4 linked regions of the Macaca mulatta genome follow. The protein of the gene in region 3 interacts with the protein of the main gene of each other region in a biochemical or structural test. Links are inferred from orthologs where the notes say so. Each region holds a gene or a part of one and is shown on either strand. Other genes may lie near its edges.

Evidence for each region.
Region 1: the proteins of PRKACA (region 3) and UBE3A form a complex in vitro, tested with the Homo sapiens proteins (2 studies listed by BioGRID, with this or other methods). The link is inferred for Macaca mulatta from reciprocal best matches to the Homo sapiens genes PRKACA and UBE3A.
Region 2: the proteins of PRKACA (region 3) and BAD form a complex in vitro, tested with the Homo sapiens proteins (2 studies listed by BioGRID, with this or other methods). The link is inferred for Macaca mulatta from reciprocal best matches to the Homo sapiens genes PRKACA and BAD.
Region 4: the proteins of PRKACA (region 3) and CREB1 form a complex in vitro, tested with the Homo sapiens proteins (2 studies listed by BioGRID, with this or other methods). The link is inferred for Macaca mulatta from reciprocal best matches to the Homo sapiens genes PRKACA and CREB1.

What each region holds. Positions count from the first base shown.
Region 1 is NC_133412.1:4,570,225-4,575,317, reverse strand, and holds part of UBE3A (ubiquitin-protein ligase E3A), read right to left. Parts: intron 1,338-5,093; coding exon 1,039-1,337; intron 1-1,038. UniProt on the Homo sapiens protein: E3 ubiquitin-protein ligase which accepts ubiquitin from an E2 ubiquitin-conjugating enzyme in the form of a thioester and transfers it to its substrates.
Region 2 is NC_133419.1:10,112,736-10,118,347, reverse strand, and holds the start of BAD (bcl2-associated agonist of cell death), read right to left. Parts: upstream 3,375-5,612; 5' UTR 3,317-3,374; intron 3,051-3,316; 5' UTR 3,043-3,050; coding exon 2,856-3,042; coding exon of another isoform or gene 2,852-2,855; intron 1-2,851. Other genes in the region: integral membrane protein GPR137, read left to right, coding at 5,185-5,556. UniProt on the Homo sapiens protein: Promotes cell death. Successfully competes for the binding to Bcl-X(L), Bcl-2 and Bcl-W, thereby affecting the level of heterodimerization of these proteins with BAX. Can reverse the death repressor activity of Bcl-X(L), but not that of Bcl-2.
Region 3 is NC_133424.1:14,691,879-14,697,479, reverse strand, and holds the start of PRKACA (cAMP-dependent protein kinase catalytic subunit alpha), read left to right. Parts: upstream 1-1,666; 5' UTR 1,667-1,777; coding exon 1,778-1,976; exon of another isoform or gene 1,977-2,160; intron 2,161-2,281; coding exon 2,282-2,343; intron 2,344-2,802; coding exon 2,803-2,931; intron 2,932-5,601.
Region 4 is NC_133417.1:112,791,934-112,797,794, forward strand, and holds the start of CREB1 (cyclic AMP-responsive element-binding protein 1), read left to right. Parts: upstream 1-2,437; 5' UTR 2,438-2,490; intron 2,491-5,861.

The sequences.
Region 1 (5,093 bases), on a different chromosome or scaffold from region 3:
GTGTACAATAGAGTCAATGCAGCTTCCACATTATACTGACACACTATATATATAGACATTTACCTATTTTTCCACAGTGTGTGAGCTAATTCATGAAACAGAACTATACACTCTGAAGCAACAAAGTTGTGTAAAGTGACGAAAATAATTCTATTGTGGAAACAGTAGAGGTTATAACACAATGCCACTTCATTAATTCTTTCAAACTTGATTCAGATGATGTTACTGAAAGTTTTAGAGGCAAATGCCTCTAAAATTCTGTCACTTACACGTCATAAACAAAAAGCTTTCTCTCTTAAAATACAATTGCCTCTGCGTGTGTATGGGGGTGGGGGTGCAGGGGCGCTAAGCCCTGGCAGTCATTCAAAAATTTGATTACCGTGTTACTAATTACATTCACTGAGGAAAATAACTTGGAGTTTTAGTATTAGCGACAAGGTAATCGAATCCTGAATTTTGGACACAGGACCATTTAAAAAACAAAAGACCTGAGTGAAGATTGTCATTGGTAGGTCACCACCCTTGGCAGCATGACTGTACCAAATGTTTGTGAGGAGAGTGAGAAGCATATATTTGAAGGAAATGTAGAATTCTCACATAACTATCACAAAATTTTGTCTTGCCTTCTAAAATGGAAAAAAACCCACTGCTTCCTCTTCCTACTTCTTTCATCACATCATCCTGAGGTTCCAGAACTCATGCCAGATACTGAGTCCAGTTATTCTATAACTTAAATAGATGTTGTGGCCTAGTTTTGGAGATTAACTATCAATTAATACTTTTTTTCCTAAGAATTTTAAAAAGTTCAAATCCATCTATTAACAAATGAACTTTTGGCATATGATCTGCTTCTAATTAGCAACGATTAAACCTGTAAAATGTAGTTATTATTCCTGTCCTTTACCAAAACAAAAAATTGGTTCTACAGTATCAAAATGTCTTAATGTCACATAAGAAAAAACAAATAAAAACTCATACATTTAAATCTCCCACATGGTTTTCAGCCAACAATTCTCAATTAAAAATAAAACATCTTACCTTTAAAATCAATTCTAGTGCCTTTCTTGTTCATTTTTATCTCAGAGCAGGAGTTGTTGGGGGCACCTTTCGAGTTCTCAAGGTAAGCTGAGCTTGCTCCTTTCTTGGAGGGATGAGGATCACAGAGTTTTGCATTAATCTTATAAAGCTCGAGGGCTTTAATAGCTGCTGCATTATTATCCATACGAAGAAAAGTTGGACAGGAAGCACAAAACTCATTCGTGCAGGCTTCATTTCCACAGCCCTCAGTTAACTGGTGGTAGTAGCGTTCTATTAGATGCTTTGCAGCTGCTCGCTTCCTGTACCAAACAGTCAAACAATAAGCACAGTGATTAGTATAGCTGTCATGTACAAAGCCCAACAGATCATCAAGGCAAAAGTTAGTCAAGCACTGAAGTGATTAACCTGTGTGCGAAGATGAGAAGTAGAAAATGGAGATGCACTATTTACCAACAACCCCTGACTAGTGAAATAGCTAATAAATATTTTCTAGGATATGATAAAGAATGTCAATGCTTACTGACTGCATTAACAGAGTATACACTCCTTTGGTTTAAAAGGGGGGAGGGGGGCTCGTCTGATGGTATATGTGCTTAAGTTGTTTAGTACAACAGCTGAAAAATCACCAGGTTTACAGCTAAGAGTTTTAGGATTCTATCATTTTAAAAATTAGCATTAGGAAAATCCAGTTTTCCTTTACATAATCACTATTTCATTTTTAACAGTTTGTAAACATTTGACTTACAGTTAACACAGAATATCTATCTGGAATAAAAACTATTTTTCCCAATTATCAACCACATGGGAGACTTAAAAATAAATTTGTAAGTGGAATATCCAAAGCTACTGAAAGAAAGTGGCTGCAGCCTGAGTGAGGTAGATCATGACTGTAATCAATCCCATAACTGTGGGAGGCTGAGGCACGCAGACTACTTGAGCCCAGGAGGTCAACACCAGCTTGGGCAACCTAGTGAGGCTACTCTCTACAAAGTGTTATTTTTTTTTAAATTAGCCAGGTGTGGTGGCATGCACTGTAGTCCCAGCTACTTGGGAGGCTGAGGTGAGAGGATCACTTGAGCCTGAAAGTCAAGGCTGCCATAAGCCGAAATTCTACCACTGCACTCCAGCCTGGGCAAGAGCTAGACTTTGTCTCAAAAAAAAAAAAAAAAAGGAAAATAAAAAAGAAAAAGAGGCTCCAAAGTATATAATCTTAAATCTAAAACTTGTCACTAAACCTCCTCCTTAGTTCCACATTACAAGATGGAGTATTTTAAGTTGCATCACTCAAAATCTTATATTCCTTTTACTCTGTGAACTTAAAGTACACAGATTAATGTCCTATTTCAGCTGTTACAAGAGAGCTACCAAAACTGAGGAAGGAATTATGTGATCAAGTAAGAAGTTAGATGACATTATCTCTATATTCAACACTAAAGAGTCTGTACTTCTACTAACTGATGATGAGAACACCATAATTTCAGTAGAATAAACTACTGGATCCAAAGAAACGTAAGTCATAGCTATTCCTTTTGGTCCCAAATTCACAAGTATGGAAATAAAAACTACGAAGAATCAAAATTATAAGAAAAATAATTCAGCTAATTTTCAAAAAATTCACAGAATTATCTTACTAACATGTAGGACTAAATGACCAATGGCAGAGAATTTACATCTTGCTAATCATGAGAAACTCAGTAACAAGACAGCAAGTAAGTGAAGAGACAAATGAGATCCAATTTTGTCTCAAAAGAAAGACTTTGACTGTCTAAACTATGCAGGTAGGTGACAAAAAGTGACAATTCACACAGATTCAATTCATTCTGGTGCTTATATTTTTTCAAATGTTCCATGCAAATTTACCACTCACTGCATGCAAACAGAGAAAAAAGAAAACCCACAAAGCACAGGTAAAAATTGCATAAACATGACTTAGAGACATTTTGTTATCTATGAAGCTATAAACAACCCAACCTGAAAATTAAAAACTGTTATCACAGATTTATCACTATGCAAAATATGAAAGTGAAAACATGTAAAAATAAAAGGGGAATGGAGAATCCAGAAACTTTAAAACATACATTGTTAGTCTTCAGTAAAGAAAGGGAGATAATGTCATGTTCTCCCAAACTACAGTGACTTCCCTGGTGAAAATGTAAACAGGTATTTCCTTTCTGGAGGAAAATAGTGAATACGTATCGAAAGTCTTAAAAACATGAATACCACATGAATGAGATTCTACTTGTGGAAAACAATTTGACAATTTTACAAAAATGCAGTTTCCATATCTGAATAAAATCAACATGTTTAATAAAAGATTACTTAAATGAACTGATAATAGGTCACACAATAAAATAAAACCTATCAAGATTGAATCTGACAAGGAACTGCCTAGTCTTCCTGATATATCACTAACTGACAAAAGTCAGTTACAAGGTAGCAGGTGTAGGATGAACCCATTGTTATTTCAAAGCATTAATAGCATTTTCTCTGGACGATGTGATTAAATTAGTTTTAAAACTTCTTTCATCTTTTGATTTCTTATTTATTCTTTCCATAATAAGGATGCTACTTGCATATTAAAAATTAATAACTATAAGGGAAAACAACAGTTTTAAAACTTCATATACATGATTTGAATGGCCCCAAGATATATTAAATTGTCTCTGATTTTTAAAAAAATTATAAAAGTCAAAATACTAAGATAGATATTTTTAATGTGAGCTTTTATACTAAAATAACTTCCCCAAAACCTGTCAGATACATAGTACTTCTTTACATACTACATAGTAGGAGAGTGATCAGCACAAACAGAATGAGACTGAAAAATCAGAAGACCTGCATTAAGTGTCATCCTTCTGTCCCTAAGTAGCTGTAGGATCCTAGGGAAATAACTGTCTGGGCCTCAGTTTTCCCAGCTTTATGAGTCCCTTCAGTTCTAATTTTAAGTTATTTTATGTAATAGGGAGGTGAACAAGAAACCAGTATTTGTTGGATGCCTGATAACATATTACACACACTGCGGGGCACTTTGACATAGGTTATCTGAGTATCATGATACTGAGGATTATCTTCAGTCCACAGCCAAAGAGAGAAATAGAACTGGAGTCAAATCACCAAACCCAGATCTCAAAGAAAGTACACAACCAAGACAAGAATAGGAGTCCAGGAGTCTTTCAGCTTCAGAGTCTAAGTCATTTTGACTATACTGTTTTGCAGAAGGTGATTCATTTCCAAACAATTATTTTTTAACATGAGTAATACTGAAGAATTCTATGGAAAAAAAATCTCATAACTAATGTGCAACTGGGAAAAAAAACTGAAGAATCATAATGTGAACCTCACATTTATGCATATATCTGGTACCACAAAGGTAGACCAAATTTCTTGAGGAAATGGAACCACCACATTCTGCAAAGCTAATTTATCTCTAATTTTCTGAGGACCTATGTGCTATGCATTCTATAGACATTCTCACGTTAGAGGGGAATAAACCTTAACAGTTAAGAGCTTGCATTCTGAGGCCAGATGCCCAAGTTCACATGATGGCTCTACCTCTTAATTAACTATGTGACCCTGAATGAGTTACCTGACCTTTCTGTACGTCAGTTTCCTCGTAATTTAAGTGGTAGTATCTACGAGCATTCTCATGATGAGAGTATTATTATTCTTCACATTATCAATTGTGAGAAAATTAAATGTGTTAATATATATAAAGTGCTCAGAACACTGCCTGGCATACTAAGCACTATGAAAGTGTTAGCTACTACTATTATTGTTGTAATTGTTATCACCCTCACAAGTGTATGAGTTAGCACTATAAACCTTCATTCTGCTGATGCTCAGAGAAATTACATCAATAAGTCATTCATCTAATAAGAGATCTGAACTCAGCTACTAAATTTGAGCTTTTAATAACTATTAAGAGGAGGATATGAAAGTAGACCCCTGTATTTGATCTGCCTTTCTGTGCCAAGTTAACAAACAGTAGCTACACTGATGAGACAGGACTAAAGGAAGCCAGGTCAGAAACTCCATGTTAATGGTGGAATCAACTA
Region 2 (5,612 bases), on a different chromosome or scaffold from region 3:
AAATAAATCCAGAGGCCAGCTACTTCTCACCACCTCCCTGGTGACTCTCTGAATGTCTAAATCTGACCATGCTGCCTCTGTTCAAAGCCTTTCCAGGTTTTCACCCAAAGGCAAAGTCAGAGTCCTTACAATGACCTCCAACTTTAGGTCTCCAAAGACCCTTTCCTAACCCCCTCCTCTAGGCCCACCCTAGCTGGGAGCAGGTGTTGCCCTCAGGGCCTTAGCACCTGCCCTTCCCTCTGCCTGGAACTCTCTTCCCATCATCCCTGTGGCCTTGGTTCCAGTGGTGCTTCTCACCAAGTGAGTGTTGACCACCTCTGCTACCATCACTCCCCCAGCCCCGTGACTCTGGATTCTCTTAACTCTTTTTTTTTTTTTTTTTTGAGACGGAGTCTCACTCTGTTGCCAGGCTGGAGTGCAGTGGTGTGATCTTGGCTCACTGCAACCTCCGCCTCCCGGGTTCAAGTGATTCTCCTGCCTCAGCCTCCTGAGTAGCTGGGACTATAGGTGCATGCCACCATGCTTGGCTAATTTTTGTATTTTTAGTAGAGATGGGGTTTCACCATGTTGGCCAGGCTGGTCTCCATGTCTTGACCTTGTGATCCGCTTGCCTCAGCCTCCCAAAGTGTTGAAATTACAGGTGTAAGCCTCCGTGCCCAGCTTCTTTTAACTCTTACATGCTGCCCCCATACAAATCTTCTCATCCATGATAGGATGCACTTTTGTGCTTGTTTGCTTATGGACCCACCACGTCACTAGAACGTAAGCTCCACGAGGGCAAGGATTCCTGATGCTTGGGTTCACCGAGGTCCCCCTAGCAACTGGAACAACCTGTGTCACATGGTGAACACTCACTCTGAGACACAAGTCAATGCTGAGTGTGTGTGGCGGGGGGCAGAAAGCAGGGGGAGTTTGTGAGCAGAAAAACAGCCAAGTGCAAGCTCAGAAAGTTAAAGAAAGCTGTGGAGGCCGAGCATGGTGGCTCACGCCAGTAATCCCAACACTCTGGGAGGCCAAGATGAGAGGATCGCTTGGGCCCAGGAATTCGAGACCAGGCTGGGCAACAAAGCAAGACCCCACCTCTACAAAAAATAAAAAATGAGCTGGTGTGGCAGCATGTACCTGTGGTCCCAGCTGTTCTGGAGGCTGAGGCAGGAGGATTGTTTGAGCCCAGGAGTTTGAGACCTGCCTGGGCAACAAAAGGAGACCCGCCCCTGCCCTCGTCTCTAATGAAAACATGAAAAATGTCGGGCGTGGTGGCTCACGCCTGTAATTCCAACACCTTGGGAGGCCGAGGCGGGCGGATCACAAGGTCAGGAGATAGAGACCACCCTGGCTAACATGGTGAAACCCTATGTCTACTAAAAATACAAAAAATTAGCCGGGCATGGTGACACATGCCTGTAGTCCCAGCTACCTGAAAGACTGAGGCAGGAGAATTGCTGGAACCCAGGAGGCGGAGGTTGCAGTGAGCTGAGATTGCACCACTGCACTCCAGCCTGGGTGGCAGAGTGAGACTCTGTCTCAGAAAAAAAAAAAAAAGAAAAAGTTAAAAATAAATTAACTAGGTGTAGTCCACACACCTGTATTCCCAGTTACTTGGGAGGGTAAGGTGGGAGGATCGCTTAAGCCCAGAAGTTCTAGGCTGCAGTGAGCTGAGGTCACACCTCTGTACTCCACACCTCTGTACTCCCTCCTAGGTGATAGAGCGAGACCCTGTCTCAAAACAAACAAAACAACAACAACAAAAAAAGAAAGCAAGCTATGGGATCCAATCTGAGAGAATTGAGTGTGTGTGTTTGTGCGTAAGAGAGGGAGGGGAGGCCTCTTAAGCCTTCTTAATCCTGAAAATGGGAAGGAGGTCGTTTAAGCTTCAGTGCCAGAGTGACATGACCTAGTTTTCTATTTTTAGAGATGGGGTCTGGCTATGTTGCCCAGGTTGGTCTTGAATTCCTGGGCTCAAGCCAGCCTCCTGAGCTGCTGGGACTACAGACATGGGCCACCCCACCTGGCTTGACCTGGTTTTTGTGTTCAGAAGATATATGTTGTTGTTCCAGGTGCCAAGGCCAGTGCTGGGCACAGGGGTGGTGGAGCCTACTGAGAAATGGACACTGAACCCCAGTGTCTATCCTTCCATCTTGGAGCCTGTGCTTCCCACCCCACACAGCCCTGCTGTCTGGGAGGACCGTCTGCCCCTTGAGGTCACCTGCCCCTGGCCTTTGTGCCAGGACAGGCCTGCTGTGGGCGCAAGCCTCGGGGCAAGAAAGAACACATCTGGGAGCTGGAAGGCCCAATCCCAGGGAAAGCATGTAGCCTGGGGCAGGGCACCAAGGAGTCTTCCAGCCCCCACCTTCTAAGGAAAGAAATGCCAGGCAGGTATGGCCTTAGGTAGGCCCCTTTTCCTTTTCGGATCACTGCCTGCCTGCCTGTCACTAATTTCTGTCCTGGCCCCACACTAATAGCTGCCATATATATATATACATATTTTAAGAGATGGAGTCTCCCTAAGTCACCCAGGCTGGCTTTGAACTTCTGGGCTCAAGCGATCCTCCTGCCTTGGCCTCCCAAAGTGCTGGGATTACAGGTGTGATCCGTCATGCCTGGCAGCTACCATTTTTTAGCTTTAATGTGCACCAGCTCTGTAATCAAGTGCATCCTATATGTTCCTGCTAATTAACTCAACAGTCCTACAATGGTGGTTATTAATTGCTCTGTTTTACAAAAGAGGAAACTGGGGCTCTGAGAGGTTAGGGACCGACCCAAAGCCTTCAGTGCCCGTGGATACAACTGGGATGCAGGGAGCCAGTGGGCTGGGGGTGAGGTGACCCGGCAGGTGGAGGTGGTGGGGTACTTACCTCCATGATGGCTGCTGCTGGTTGGCTGCTCCTGCTGGTGACTGGCGTCCCACAGGAGGCCTGGGGCCTGGCGATGATGCTTGCCGGAGTCTGAGGGCCTGTCCCCCGCGGGGCTGGGGCCCAGGCCCCTCTCTGCAGAGCTGGAGTCTTCCTGCTCACTAGGCTCAAACTCTGGGATCTGGAACATGCTCTGGGCTATGAGGACAAGATGTTAGGTAGTCAAGGCACAGCTGGGGCCAACGGTGGCCCTGGAAGGCAGAGGTAGGTACCCTTGGCTCCCTCTCCCACCCTAGGGCCCCCAGGCCCGCCAGGCCTCCCGGGCCCTCATTTGTCTGCTGGGTCTGGCCTGGCAGGGAGCTGATGCTGTCGGCTCAGGGCCTCAATCTCCCCTCAGAACCCTGGTGGACCCAGGCCCCTACCCAGGCCCCGCCCCGCCCGTGGTGACGGCGCACAGGTCTCACCCCAAGCCCGATCTCGAGGCCCCTGACCCGGGCCTGCCGCCTCCCTCCTGCACCCCGGGCTCCCGGCCCTAGTTGCTTGGGCAACGGGAACTGTCAGCGACCTGGCCCAATCACCTCTCGGAACGTCACTCGGGTAGGTCCAGAGGCGGGGTCAACCCGGCCCGGCCCCGCCCCCCCGCCGGACCTACGGCTACTCGCCCGCAGCCTTTTTTCTCCCTCCTGCAGCCCTGGTGCTCACATCCTCGCTGCCTCACACCTTGGACGTGTGTGGGAGCAGGAGAGGGATTCTCTGGGGTCCCCATTTGGAACCTGGAGACCCACTTCTGCCAACAAGTCCTTCAGCCCCTCTGGACCTTAGTTTCCCCCCAGTGAAGTGGGGATAGTGACAGCTCCCCCAGGAGCCAGTGAAAACTTTGTGAAGGGAGTGATTACTGCGGGCGAAGGCGCTTGGCACAGCCACAACTGAAGCTCAGCCGTCGGATGCGATTATTGTTGCTATTGTTACCGCTCCGCCTGGACTGGGTGCCCGGTCGGAAAGTCCCGCTCCCCGCTCCTCCTCCCAGGCGTGGAAGCTTCGCGCCGCCCGCCTCGGGGGACACCTCCCGCGCCACCTCGGGGGCACTGGAGATAAGGAGAGGAACCTCCTCCCTGGCTGGGATGGCTGCCCGGGCGCGGGAGGAGGGCCGGGGACCCGGTGAGGGTGGACCGTAGGGTCCGTGGGGGCTTCAGGCCTGGCAGGCGGCCGGCCAGGTGAGCAGGGCCGCGGGCGCGCCGGGGCGGGGGGCGGGCCCGCGCTGGGGATTCGGGGCTCCGCGGGTTCAGGCCCGGGGGCGGGGCCCGGGGGCCATCTTGGCTATGGGCGGAAGTTTTCTTCAGAGGCCGAGGGACGGGAATCCGTTGCCGCCCCCGGCTGGGTGGTACGACCCCGATTTGGGTATAGGAGAGAGGAGCGTGGGAATTGCCGGCCCCCCATACAAGTTAAGGCGGACCGCCCAGGCACAGCCCACCCGGGGACCCCCTGGATGCGGCACGGCCCCCGCAATTCGGCCGCCCTCCAGCCGCCTCCCGTAACCCCGGGCGCCCGCCAGCGGCGCAGCTCGCGCCAATTCTCGTACGGTTTCACGCCGGGTGCGGCGCTGGACTGCGGAGCCGGTCGGGCCCCTGCGCAATTTGCGTAGCGAACAGCGCCCGCGCAGGCGCAGGAGGGGGCGGAGCAGCGGGAGCCGGGGAGCCGGAGCCCCGGGTCCCCACGACCTGAGCCGGCTCTCCCATCAGCGGCCTGAGGACCTGGCATCCGCCTCCTCCCGCCCCTTGAGGCTGGAGAGTGGACGCGGTGGGGGGGGTGGGGCGGGGGGCAGCTTTCGAGAATTACAAGGACAGAAGGCAGAGGCCCTCCCCATCCGCATTACTGGAGGAGAGCCTCCCCCAGCTTGGGGAGGGGGAGAGCGGGGCATTGGGCGCCCCCTGCAGCGGCCGCTGCCCTGACCCGACGGGCATCGGCTGGCTCTCCCCCTCCAGCCAGGACGACACGAGCGACCGAGGCCAGGGACTCCGCTCCTTGGGCCTCTGCATCCCCCCATCCCTGACTCTGGGGTAGGCCCAGGGAGGAGACACCCCCAACCCCCACCCGGTCTGCCCTGGAGAGAAGAGACTGCCCTTCCATGCCCCTGAGTGAGGGGCCTGGGGCCCAGGCTGCCCGTGTTCCCCAAGGGCAAGGGTCTCTCTGTTGAGGAGGAGGGGCCTGTCAGCCACAACTTCTTTCCTCCTCAGCGCCCCATCTCCCTCTCTGCACCCTGCAATTCCCACCCCTCCGTATTTATTACCCTGGCCCTGCCGACAGCCCCTCCTTCTCTGTCTCCGGGATTCAGGCCTCCCTCCCTGACATGGAGAGTAACCTGTCTGGCCTGGTGCCTGCTGCCGGGCTGGTGCCTGCGCTGCCACCTGCTGTGACCCTGGGGCTGACGGCTGCCTACACCACCCTGTATGCCCTGCTCTTCTTCTCCGTCTATGCCCAGCTCTGGCTGGTGCTTCTGTATGGGCACAAGCGTCTCAGCTATCAGACGGTGTTCCTGGCCCTCTGTCTGCTCTGGGCTGCCTTGCGTACCACTCTCTTCTCCTTCTACTTCCGAGATACTCCCCGCGCCAACCGCCTGGGGCCCTTGCCCTTCTGGCTTCTCTACTGCTGCCCCGTCTGCCTGCAGTTCTTCACCTTGACGCTTATGAACCTCTACTTTGCCCAGGTAACCAACTGTGGTCCCGGGTGGGGGGTGGGAGGTGGCAAGCCTTAAGGACCCAC
Region 3 (5,601 bases):
CTAGGCTGCAGTGCAATGGCATGATCTCAGCTCACTGCAACCTCTGCCTCCCGGGTCTAAGCGATTCTGCAGCCACCATGCTTGGCTAATTTTTTTGTACTTTTAGTAGAAACAGGGTTTCACCATGTTGGCCAGGCTGGTCTTGAACTCCTGACCTCAAGTGATCCACCCGCCTCGGCCTCCCAAAGTTCTGGGATTACAGGCGTGAGCCACCGTGCCCGGCCTAATTTTTTTATTTTTAGTAGAGATGGGGTTTCGCCATGTTGGCCAGGCTGGTCTCGAACTCCTGACCTCGTGATCCGCCCACCTCAGCCTCCCAGAGTGCTGGAATTATAGACGTCAGCCACTGCACCCAGCCTCTCTCCCCATATGTTTTTTTTTTTTTTTTTCTTTTTTTTCTTGAGACAGAGTCTAGCTCTGTCTCCCAGGCTGGAGTGCAGTGGTGCGATCTCGGTTCACTGCAAGCTCCGCCTCCCGGGTTCACGCCATTCTCCTGCCTCAGCCTCCCGAGTAGCTGGGACTACAGGCATCCGCCACCACACCTGGCTAATATTTTTAGTAGAGATGGGATTTCATCGTGTTAGCCAGGATGGTCTCGATCTCCTGACCTCGTGATCCGCCCACCTCGGCCCTTCCCCATATTTTATACCTCAATTTAAAAAATAATAGGCTGGGTGCAGTGACTCATGCCTATAATCCCAGCACTTTGGGAGGCCAAGGCAGGCAGGTCACCTGAGGTCAGGAGTTCAAGACCAGCCTGGCCAACATGGTGAAACCCGTCTCTACTAAAAATACCAAAATTAGCTGGGCGTGGTAGCAGGTGCCTGTAATCCCAGCTACTCAGGAGGCTGAGGCAGGAGAACCATCTGAACCTGGGAGGTGGAGGTTGCAGTGATCTGAGATCGTGCCACCGCACTCCAGCCTGGCAATAGAGTGGGACTCCATCTCAATAATAATAATAATAATAATTTTAAAAATAAATAAAAAATAATAGTAGCTGACATTTATCTGGCACTAACATCACATGGGCCACTGTTCAACTCCCTTTGCCAAAATGAACTCATTCATTCCTTAAAACCACCCCACAGGCCGGGCGCGGTGGCTCAAGCCTGTAATCCCAGCACTTTGGGAGGCCGAGACGGGCGGATCATGAGGTCAGGAGATTGAGACCATCCTGGCTAACACGGTGAAACCCCGTCTCTACTTAAAAAAATACAAAAAAATAAACTAGCCGGTTGAGGTGGCGGGCACCTGTAGTCTCAGCTACTTGGGAGGCTGAGGCAGGAGAATGGCAGGAACCCAGGAGGCGGAGCTTGCAGTGAGCCCAGATCGCGCCACTGCACTCCAGCCTGGGCGACAGAGCGAGACTCCGTCTCAAAAAAAAAACCCCAAAAAAACCACCCCACTTTACAGATGAGGAAAACTGAGGCCTTGAGAGGTGAGATCAGTTGCCCAAAGTTACAGAGTTCATCGGAGACCAGGCTGGGCTCTGAACTGGATCTTGTCCCCAAGTCCTGGCCCTTAGCCACTTTGCTGGGCTGCGTCTCAGCAGAGATAAGAATGACTGTTTTCAAGCCTGTTTTCTGGGTTGTTAAACGGACACAATGGATACAAGGCAGGTTGCCGAGCGAGTCAGATGAGACAGTGTAGACAGCAGCCGGCACAGGGTCTGCCGGGGAAGTTTCAACGTTAGCCAGGCGGTGATGTTCGCCTTGGGATGCCGTGGGGCCGAGGAGTGGGCATCGGGCGAAACTTCCCTTGAACCAGCTCTGGAGCAATGCCCTTGCGATCGACACGAGAGGAACAGGGCCAGCTGGGGGCCAAGGTGACAGCTGAGCCCCCCAAGGGCGCCTGCTACCCGAGCCCCCGAGGCCTCCATCCCAGGCCCAGCCTCCCCAGAGAAGGGGCCAGAGGAACAGCCAAATCCCAAGGCTATAAATACCTCGGCTGGCGTCGGCCCTGGCCGTGGAATGTCGGTCAGAACTGGGGCGAGTGGGGGTGGGCTGGCCTGCCTGGGTGCCTCCCTCCGTTCCCCTGGGGGTGACCCCTGAGACTCTCTGTACCCCACTTTGGATGGAGTAGCAGCTGGATCCCACCTCTCTGTAGCAAGGGAGGCCCAGGCCACGGCCCGGCCAGGGCCCCCAGAGGCACCATAAAAAGGTCAGGCTCTAGGTTGAGGGAACTGCACCCCAATTTCTACCAAGTATCTCCCCAGAAATCACCTGAACCCGCCCCGGTGAAATGGAGGTCTCTGTCTAACCCTCCCCTGTCTCCCTTTCAGTGAAAGAATTCTTAGCCAAAGCCAAAGAAGATTTTCTTAAAAAATGGGAAAGTCCCGCTCAGGTAAGGCCACCGGGTACAGAGTCCGGGGAGGGGTGAGCTGGTGACCCCCAGCCCCCAGCTGCGTCCCAGCAACACAGCTAGAATTTCAGAAACCCCGTGGAAGGCTTCAGACCCTCCCCATTCACTCCCTAGGTACCCATGGGGGCTCCTGTGTGGAGACACCTGACTGCCCAATGCCAGGCACCCCCATCCCACCACCCCTTCCAACAGCCCGCCCCTGCCCCTAGCACAGCTGCCAGCAGCTCCCAGGCCCCAGGCCAGGGCCGGATCTGGCCCCTGCCACCCGCCTTAAGGAATGCGCCCTCTGCCATCTTGATTTTCCGCCCCCGTCCTCAACCCCGCTGACCCTACGTGCTCCCCGGGGCCCCCTCTGCCGGTGGCAGAGGGGATGCCTCAGACCTTAGCCCAGCAGGCCGCGGGGAGGATGCACCCTGAGCCTGCCGACCCCTCTGCCCACAGAACACAGCCCACTTGGATCAGTTTGAACGAATCAAGACCCTCGGCACGGGCTCCTTCGGGCGGGTGATGCTGGTGAAACACAAGGAGACCGGGAACCACTATGCCATGAAGATCCTCGACAAACAGAAGGTGAGGTGGCCCGTCCTCGCCTTTGCCTGGACTGTGCCCACTCCTTGGAGTGTCCTATCCACCCGTTCACTCACTTGCTTTGCTTTTTCGAGTCAGAGTCTTGCTTTGTTGCTCAGGCTGGAGTATAGTGGCGCGACCTCGGCTCACTGCAACCCCCACCTCCCTGGTTCAAGCGATTCTCCTGCCTCAGCATCCCGAGTAGCTGGGATTACAGGCACCCGCCACCACACCCAGCTAATTTTTGTAATTTTAGTAGAGATGAGTTTTCACCATGTTGGCCAGGATGGTCTCGAATTCCTGACCTCAGGTGATACACCTGCCTCAGCCTCCCAAAGTGCTGGGATTATAGGTGTGAGCCACCGCGCCTGGCCACTTGCTTTTTTGCGGGGAGACAGGATCCTGCTCTGTTGCCCAAGCAGGAGTGCAGTGACGTGATCATAGCTCACTGTAGCCTCAAACTCTTGAGCTCCTCCCGAGTAGCTGGGACTACAAGCACACACTACCATGCCTGGCTAATTTTTTTTTTTTTTTTTTTTCAAAGGCAGGGGGCCTCTTGCTGTGTTGCCCAGGCTGGTCTTGAACTCCTGGCCTCAAGTGATCTACTTCAGGCTCCCAAAGCGCAGGGATTACGGACATGAGCTTCCACGCCAGGCTCACCCACTATTCCCCGAGCCCCCATAATGTGCCAGCTCCAAGGGTCGAAAGGGCCCTGTGCTGCCTTCCCAAAGCTCCCTCTCCAGGCCGGCCATGCATTCAAAGCTGGGCACTGTGACACAGGGTCAGACACCAGTCCAAAGGGAGGAGGCCAGGAGCATTCTTGGGGAAAGCGGTGTTTACGTGGACTTTCTTCCCGTAAATATTTTTGTGATCCAACTTTATACCGGGCACTGCTATAAAGCAGCAATGTAACCAACAGAAATGTAACCCAAGCCACAGAATCGATTTTAAATTTTCTCTTTGCTCCATCATAAACAGTAAAAAGAGCCAAGCATGGTGGCGCATGCCTATAGTCCTAGCTACCAGAGGGGCTGAGGCAGGAGGATTACTTGGACCTAGGAGTTCAACTCCAGCCTGGACAACACAGCCAGACCTCATCTCTTAAAAAAAAAAAATTGTGGCCAGGCACGGTGGCTCAAGCCTGTAATCCCAGCACTTTGGGAGGCCGAGACGGGTGGATCACGAGGTCAGGAGATCGAGACCATCCTGGCTAACACGGTGAAACCCCGTCTCTACTAAAAAATACAAAAAAAAAAAAACTAGCCAGGCAAGGTGGCGGGCGCCTGTAGTCCCAGCTACTCGGGAGGCTGAGACAGGAGAATGGTGTGAACCCAGGAGGCGGAGCTTGCAGTGAGCTGAGATCCGGCCACTGCACTTCAGCCTGGGTGACAGAGCGAGACTCCGTCTCAAAAAAATAAATAAATAAAAATGTTTTTAAAAAAATTGTAATTAAAAAAGAAAGTGAAAGAAGCAGATGACATTCATGAAATTCATTTTAATGACATGTTTGGGGCTTTTGTTTTTTTTTTTTTTTTTTGAGACAGAGTCTCACTCTTGTCGCCCAGTGGTGTGATCTCAGCTCACTGCAATCTCCACCTCCCAGGTTCAAGTGATTCTCCTGCCTCAGCTTCCCAAGTAGCTGAGATTGCAGACGCCGCCACCACGCCTGGCTAAGTTTTGTATTTTTAGTAGAGACGGGGTTTCACCATGTTGGTCAGGTTGGTCTCAAACTCCTGACCTCAGGTGGTCTGCCCGCCTCGGCCTCCCAAAGTGCTGAGATTACAGATGTGAGCCACCGCGCCCAGCCTAATGATATGTTTTAATTAAGCCAGTATATCTACAGTATTACCGTTTCCATATATTATCAATGTGAAAATATCATTAATGAAACATTTTACATTCCTTTTGTTTTTTTCCCAGTCCTTCATGACTTCGGAAATATTTCCTTTTTTTCTGTACTGAAGTGTCTTTAAAATCCAGTGTCCATTGGATGCTTACAACAGGTCTCAACTCTGAGGGTAAATTTTTCCTGGAAAGAGGAGAAAAAGGAGGGAAGTTGAAAAAGCTAATTCAGGCCTGGCGCGGTGGTTTACACCTGTAATCCCAGCACTTTGGGAGGCCGAGGCAGGCAGATCACGCGGTCAGGAGATCGAGACCATCCTGGCTAACACAGTGAAACCCCATCTCTACTAAAAATACAAAAAAGGTAGCCGGGCGTGGTGGCGGGCGCCTGTAGTCCCAGCTACTCGGGAGGCTAAGGCAGGAGAATGGCGTGAACCCAGGTGGTGGAGTTTGCAGTGAGCCGAGATCGCGCCACTGCACTCCAGCCTGGGCAACAGAGCGAGACTCCATCTCAAAAAAAAAAAGAAAAAAGAAAAAGCAGATTCACATGCCCAAGTTGTTCCAACTGTGCCTGAAAGTCACCAGTACCTACATCAAGTGTTTAATTTTTGTTTTGTTTTGTTTTGTTTTTGAGATGGAGTTTCACTCTTGTTGCCCAGGCTGGAGTACAATGGTATGATCTCAGCTCACGACAACCTCCGCCTCCCGGGTTCAAGCGATGCCTTAGCTTTCTGAGTAGCTGGAATTACAGGCATCCGCCACCACGCCCAGCTAATTTTTTAATATTTGTAGTAGAGACAGAGTTTCACCATTTTGGCCAGGCTGGTTGTT
Region 4 (5,861 bases), on a different chromosome or scaffold from region 3:
ACTTCAAGCAAGAGACCACAGTGGTTTAGACTAAAATGGGAATGAAAAAATGGTCATGGGAACAGAGAGGTCACAAATCCAATTTTCCAGGAAACAGACACATGTAGGTGATTCTGCTGTGTGTTGGAGGTGTGTTAGGTTTCTTGCATGAACTGAGTAGATGTTAAGATACCCTTTACTGAACCAGGGACTATGGGAGGAGCATTTCGAAGGAATTATGATACACAGGCTGAGTTTGAAATGCCCTAAGTCATCCAAATGAAAAGTGTACCAAAGGCAGTATGTTGGAACTATGAATATAGGGTTCCAGAGCAAGACCTAGGCTTGGGTTATGGATTGAAGAGTCTTTGACAGAAGGTATTTGATGCTACTGGGAGAGCATAAGACCACCTAGGAAAGTGTATGGGGAGACTCAGTAAGAAGGCCAGGGTTCATTCAGCTCAGCATGATTCCAATGTGTAAGAGGTAGATCAAGAAGGAGAGGCTGGTTGTTAAAGAGAAAACTCAGGTAGAGAGGAAACCTGTGACATAAGACCAGAGGGAAGACGGTATTTGGAAGAGAGTGTGGTCAAACATGTCAAATACTGGGATGAGGGCTTGTAAAATGAGGACTGAAAACGATCCGCTGCATTTACAGACATGAAGCTTGTCTGTGGACAATTCAGAACCACTCCAGGTGAGCAGTGGGGACACTGGAGAGGGCTGGGAGGTGGGATGTGAGAGACTGTCCAGGGGTAAGAGACAGCTGGAGTTGTTGCAGAGCAATTTAGGGAGAAGAGAAATCTTTTTAAAGAATTGAGAGACTTAAGCATGTTTAAATACTAGTAAGAAAGAGCCAGTAGAGAAGGAAACGTTGAGAGTAACAGAAGGAAAGGAGACTTGTTAAGGGCAAAGTCTATGAGAAAATAGTAGGGTACCTGGAGTACCAGGAAGGACAGTTCCTTACAAGAGAAGTGAGTAATGGGCGGAGTCCAGATTTGAACACTCTCTGCTTCCTAAAGACACGTCTCCTTTAAAGGACAGAAAAATAATGATTAAGACTTGAGGCCAGGCGCGCTGGCTGACGCGTGTAACCATACCACTTTAGGAGGCCAAGGCGGGTGGATCACCTGAGGTCAGGAGTTCCAGACCAGCCTGGCCAACATGATGAAACCCCATCTCTACTAAAAACACAAAAATCAGCCAAGTGTGGTGGCAGGTGCCTGTTATCCCAGCTACTTGGGAGGCTGAGGCAGAAGCTGCAGTGAGCCGAGATCGTGCCACCGCACTCCAGCCTGGGCGACAAGACCTAGACTCCGTCTCAAAAAAAAAAAAAAAAAAAAAAAAGACTTGAAACCCCAGGGAGAGGGGCGCAGAGTTCACTATCAGGGAGAGTGGGGACCTAGTGGTGTGGTCCTGGGCGACCTCTGAGAGAGCAGTTCAGTAGTTTCCAGCCACGGAAGTCCCCCTGCTGGGTTTAGGGTGCAGTGGGTGCGAATCCCTGCTGTAGAAAACAGGCTGAAGAAAGCAAGCCACACAGGATGTTGTCTGGAGAAGGGCGGGCAGGTGGGATGGGGCATATTTCCAGCGGTCCCGGCAGGTTGTGGCTCGGAGGCCTCCGAGGGCCGTCGACGTCAGCCACGGCCGGGGCAGAGCGACGGCCCGGGCAGAGCCCCGGGAGGTGCCACAGTACCGGGGCCAAAGCCCCTCAGAAAAGCATGCTCCGCCGGCGGCCGCCAGGTTTCTCTGCGGAGTCTCAGAAAGGAAAACCCGTCCCCACGGGGGTCCCACGACGTCCCCGGGTCCCAGGCGCCGGGACGTTGGCAGAGGCGCAGCAGACCTTCCTCCCCAACCCGTACGGCTCCCGCGGTCCCCCGTCTCCCGGCGGCGTCGGAAAGTTCCCGGGGCTCGCGGCGGTCAAGACCAGAGCCGGGGCAGCCGCAGCCGCCTTCTTAGCCCGCCGCTCACCGCCACAGAGGCAGGCCTGCGTGGGGGTTTCCACCAAGTCGCCGACACCCCTCAGGAATTCCCCTACTGGGCCACACACAAACCCCGCTTCCTCCTTCAAATTTCCGCCGCCAGCTTTATCGATCCGAACGCCGCGCTGGGGTTTAGACCACTCCTCCCGGCGCCGGGCTCAGCCCGCCTTCGCCTTCCCTCTCCCGGCGGAACCCGTCCGCCTCGCGCGAAGAAACCCGAAGGCCTTCGGCAAGTTCCGTCCCCAGCGCGGGGGCGGGGCCGCTCGAGCTGCTCCGGGCCCAGCTCGGCTGTTTCCGTGCGCGGCCGCTGCGCACTCGGCACTGGGCGGCGCTGGCTGGCTCCCTGGCTGCGGCTCCTCAGTCGGCGGCGGCTGCTGCTGCCTGTGGCCCGGGCGGCTGGGAGAAGCGGAGTGTTGGTGAGTGACGCGGCGGAGGTGTAGTTTGACGCGGTGTGTTACGTGGGGGAGAGAATAAAACTCCAGCGAGATCCGGGCCGTGAACGAAAGCAGTGACGGAGGAGCTTGTACCACCGGTAAGAGGAGCAGGAGGAGGAGGCAGGAGCCAGAGAGAGCCGGGGGGACGGAGGGGGGACGGGGAGGCGCCGGACACCCGCGCTTGGGGCCTTCCCCTCGCAGGAGGGGCCGCGGTAAAGATGGAGCCTCCGCCCGAGCCCCACAACATCGCCGCCGCTCGCAGCGAACAAAGAATAATGGCGGCGGACTGGAGCCAGCGGCGGCCGGGGCGGCAGCGACTCTGCCTGCAGCCAGCGGCGGCGCTCATGGCGGGGGGCGGCGGGCGGCGGGCGGCGGGCGGGGTGGGAGCCGGCGGCCGGGGGTGTGTGCGGGCGGCCGGCCGCGGCGAGCTGGCGCCCGCGTTCCCGCCGCCGCCGCCGGGCCGGGCGCGGAGCCGGGAGCCCGGAGCCGCCCCGGGGGAGGCCGCCCGCTCGGCCCGGCGCTGCCCCCCGCGCCGCTCGCTCGTCCGGCCCCCGCCGCCCGCCTCGCCCCCGGCCCGACCCGGCCTGGCCTCCGGGGCAGCCGCCGCCTAGGTGCCGGTGGGGGGTGGAGGAGGAAGAAGGCGACAGTTGAGGGCAGAGGAGGTGAAGGTGCCTGCTGCCTTCCCAGTGGCCTCGGTGTCTGCCATGCCCGCTTCGCAAGGGGAAGAGCTGCAACGTCTGACCTACTCTTCTCTCCACTCTTTGTGCAATAAAGTTCGAAACCCAAGGTTTCCTCTCGTGCTGTATTTTATTCATGCCCTTTCCCCTCCGCTCCCACACCGTTGAGGAAATGCTGCTTTCTGCCCTGTGCTGCTTAGTTGAGAGATGAGAGCTTGTGTTTTGGGGGGAAATTTTTTACTCCTTCACCCCCTTGCTTTTTTTTTTTTTTTTTTTTTTTTAAAGTCAGTAGTCATGGAAATGCATGCTTTTTGGGAGAAAGAGGGTGCTAAGAAAAACATAATAACTTTTTAAACTGTTGGGATCTTATAAAAGGGAAGCTGGCGTTTGAAAACAGTTTCGGTTTTAACCCTTTTCAATAAGGTAATCATTACTCGAGGTCTATCATTCTGAAACACTTCGTTGAAACGAATTATCAGCCGATGTACTCTTGTTTTACATCATTTCGCGGGGTGCAACCTTGCCAACCGCGTTTGAGTTATCTGGATCTCCCCTCACCCTGTCCCACTCCCCCTACCATATTTCCCACGAATTTCTTCGTGAACTTTAATGAGAGATTTAATACTACTTCTAAAAATAGACTTTAAAGTATCCATTATTTCTCTCTCATGCAGTAGGTAACCCCCGTCTTGAGATTGCCAGTTTAAGCCACAAGCTGTATTTTTTCTTCGCCTGTTGGGAAAAGAGGACAGCAGAAAAATCATTGACACATTAAAAATTAAAAGAATTTTTAAAGGACATGCGGTATGACCTATTTAAGTTTGTAATATCATCCCAAGTTATAATTCTAACCTCAGCTGGCGTCTGCCTTCTGAAGGTTTAGTAGAAGATACTTTTGATTGCTGCCTATTGAAATATTTTACATTTATGGCTCATTTCCTGATTTAAAAGTAAAGCCCCAAACAGTTATTTTAGGTGGTGCAAAAGACGAACAAGTTTGTTTTAAAAATACTTGTCTGTCACTGTATGATTGCATTGTGATCGACACGTACAAACCTTCTGGTTAGGAACAAATACTGATTGGCACCAGAAGCACTGTCTTATTTTTCTGTATCCTAGTCACTTTTCCAAAACGTGCTTTGTTGTATTGCTTCTCTTTAAAAGACCACATTAGCAATTTGTCATTTACAAGAAACTTAAGAAGATGCGGTAAAGGGAGGTTTTCTATAAAGATTGGGAAAATGATTTTATTTTCAAACACTGAAAAAATTATATTGATAATGGTGAGTTACCATTTTTCCTTTATGATGTTCTGCAAGCCAGTATCAGTTGAGTAGATTTTTGTTTGTTTGTTTGTTTGTTTGTTTGTTAAGAATGTAAGTCGGGTGCGGTGGCTAGGGCCTGTAATCCCAGCATGTTGTGGGGCTGAGGAGGACAGATCACTTGAGGTCAGGAGTGCAAGACCAGCCTGGCCAACATGATGAAACCCCATCTCTACTAAAAATACAAAAATTAGCTGGGTGTGGTGGTGCGCGCCTGTAATCCCAACTACTCGGGAGGCTCGGGTTGCAGTGAATTGAGATTGTGCCACTGCACTCCAGCCTGGGCAGCAGAGCAAGACTCCGTCTCAAAAACAAACAAACAAAAAGAATATACGACTCTTCATTTGTGAGATTTTTAAAAAATTGTTTGCTGATGGCCGAATGCGGTGGCTCACGCCTGTAATCCCAGCACTTTGGGAGGCCGAGGCAGGCAGATCACGAGGTCAAGAGATCGATACCATCCTGGCCAACATGGTGAAACCCCGTCTCTACTGAAAATACAAAAAGCTGAGTGTGGTGACGTATGCCTGTAATCCCAGCTACTAGGGTAGCTGAGGAGGCGGAGATTGCAGTGAGCCAAGATTGCCCCACTGCCCTCCAGCCAGGCCACAGCGAGACTCCATCTCAAAAAAAAAAAAAAAAATTGTTTACTGATACGTTCTTTCTTCAGTCTTGCCCAAGAGATATTTTAAATTGTATTTTTTATTTTAATTTTTATTTATTCTTTTGAGATGGAGTTTCGCCCTTGTTGCCCAAGCTAGAGTGCAGTGGGGCGGTCTCGGCTCACTGCGAGCTCCGCCTCCCGGGTGCAAGAGATTCTCCGGCCCCAGCCTCCCGAGTAGCTGGGATTACAGGCGCAGGACACCACACCCGGCTAATTTTTGTGTTAGTGGAGACGGGGTTTCACCATGTTGGCCAGACTAGTCTCGAACTCCTGACTTTGTGATCCGCCTGCCTCGGCCTCCCAAAGTGCTGGGATTACAGGTGTGAGCCACCTTGCCCAGCGTATTTTATTATTTATACATTCATAATTTGTGATTCTTAGCAATTCCAGGTGGAACTTCAAACTTTTATATTCATTAATATTGTGAACATTCACCTGGAACATGTGACTAAATTGTACTTCTCCACTGTTCCAGCCATCGGTAAAAATTACAGCTGGATCCACTTGAATCTTTTTTTTTTTTCCCCCATGAACACCTGCATTTAGAAAGCTAATAAATTATTTGACAGAATTTGCTTGAAGAATATTAAAAGAACACTTCTTTGGGAATTTAAAACTTAAGTGTTACCTGTTTTGAATGAATTTTTCCCCCCCTACATAAAGAGCCTGAAGAAACTTAGAAACCTGATCCATAAAAATGGCACCTTTCTTTTTCTACTTTCTGAAACTCATATGCCTGATTAGGTCTCATTATTAGAAGTTTTGGTTTCTTCATAGAGAAGTAGCTTTATTTCTCTCTCATTCTA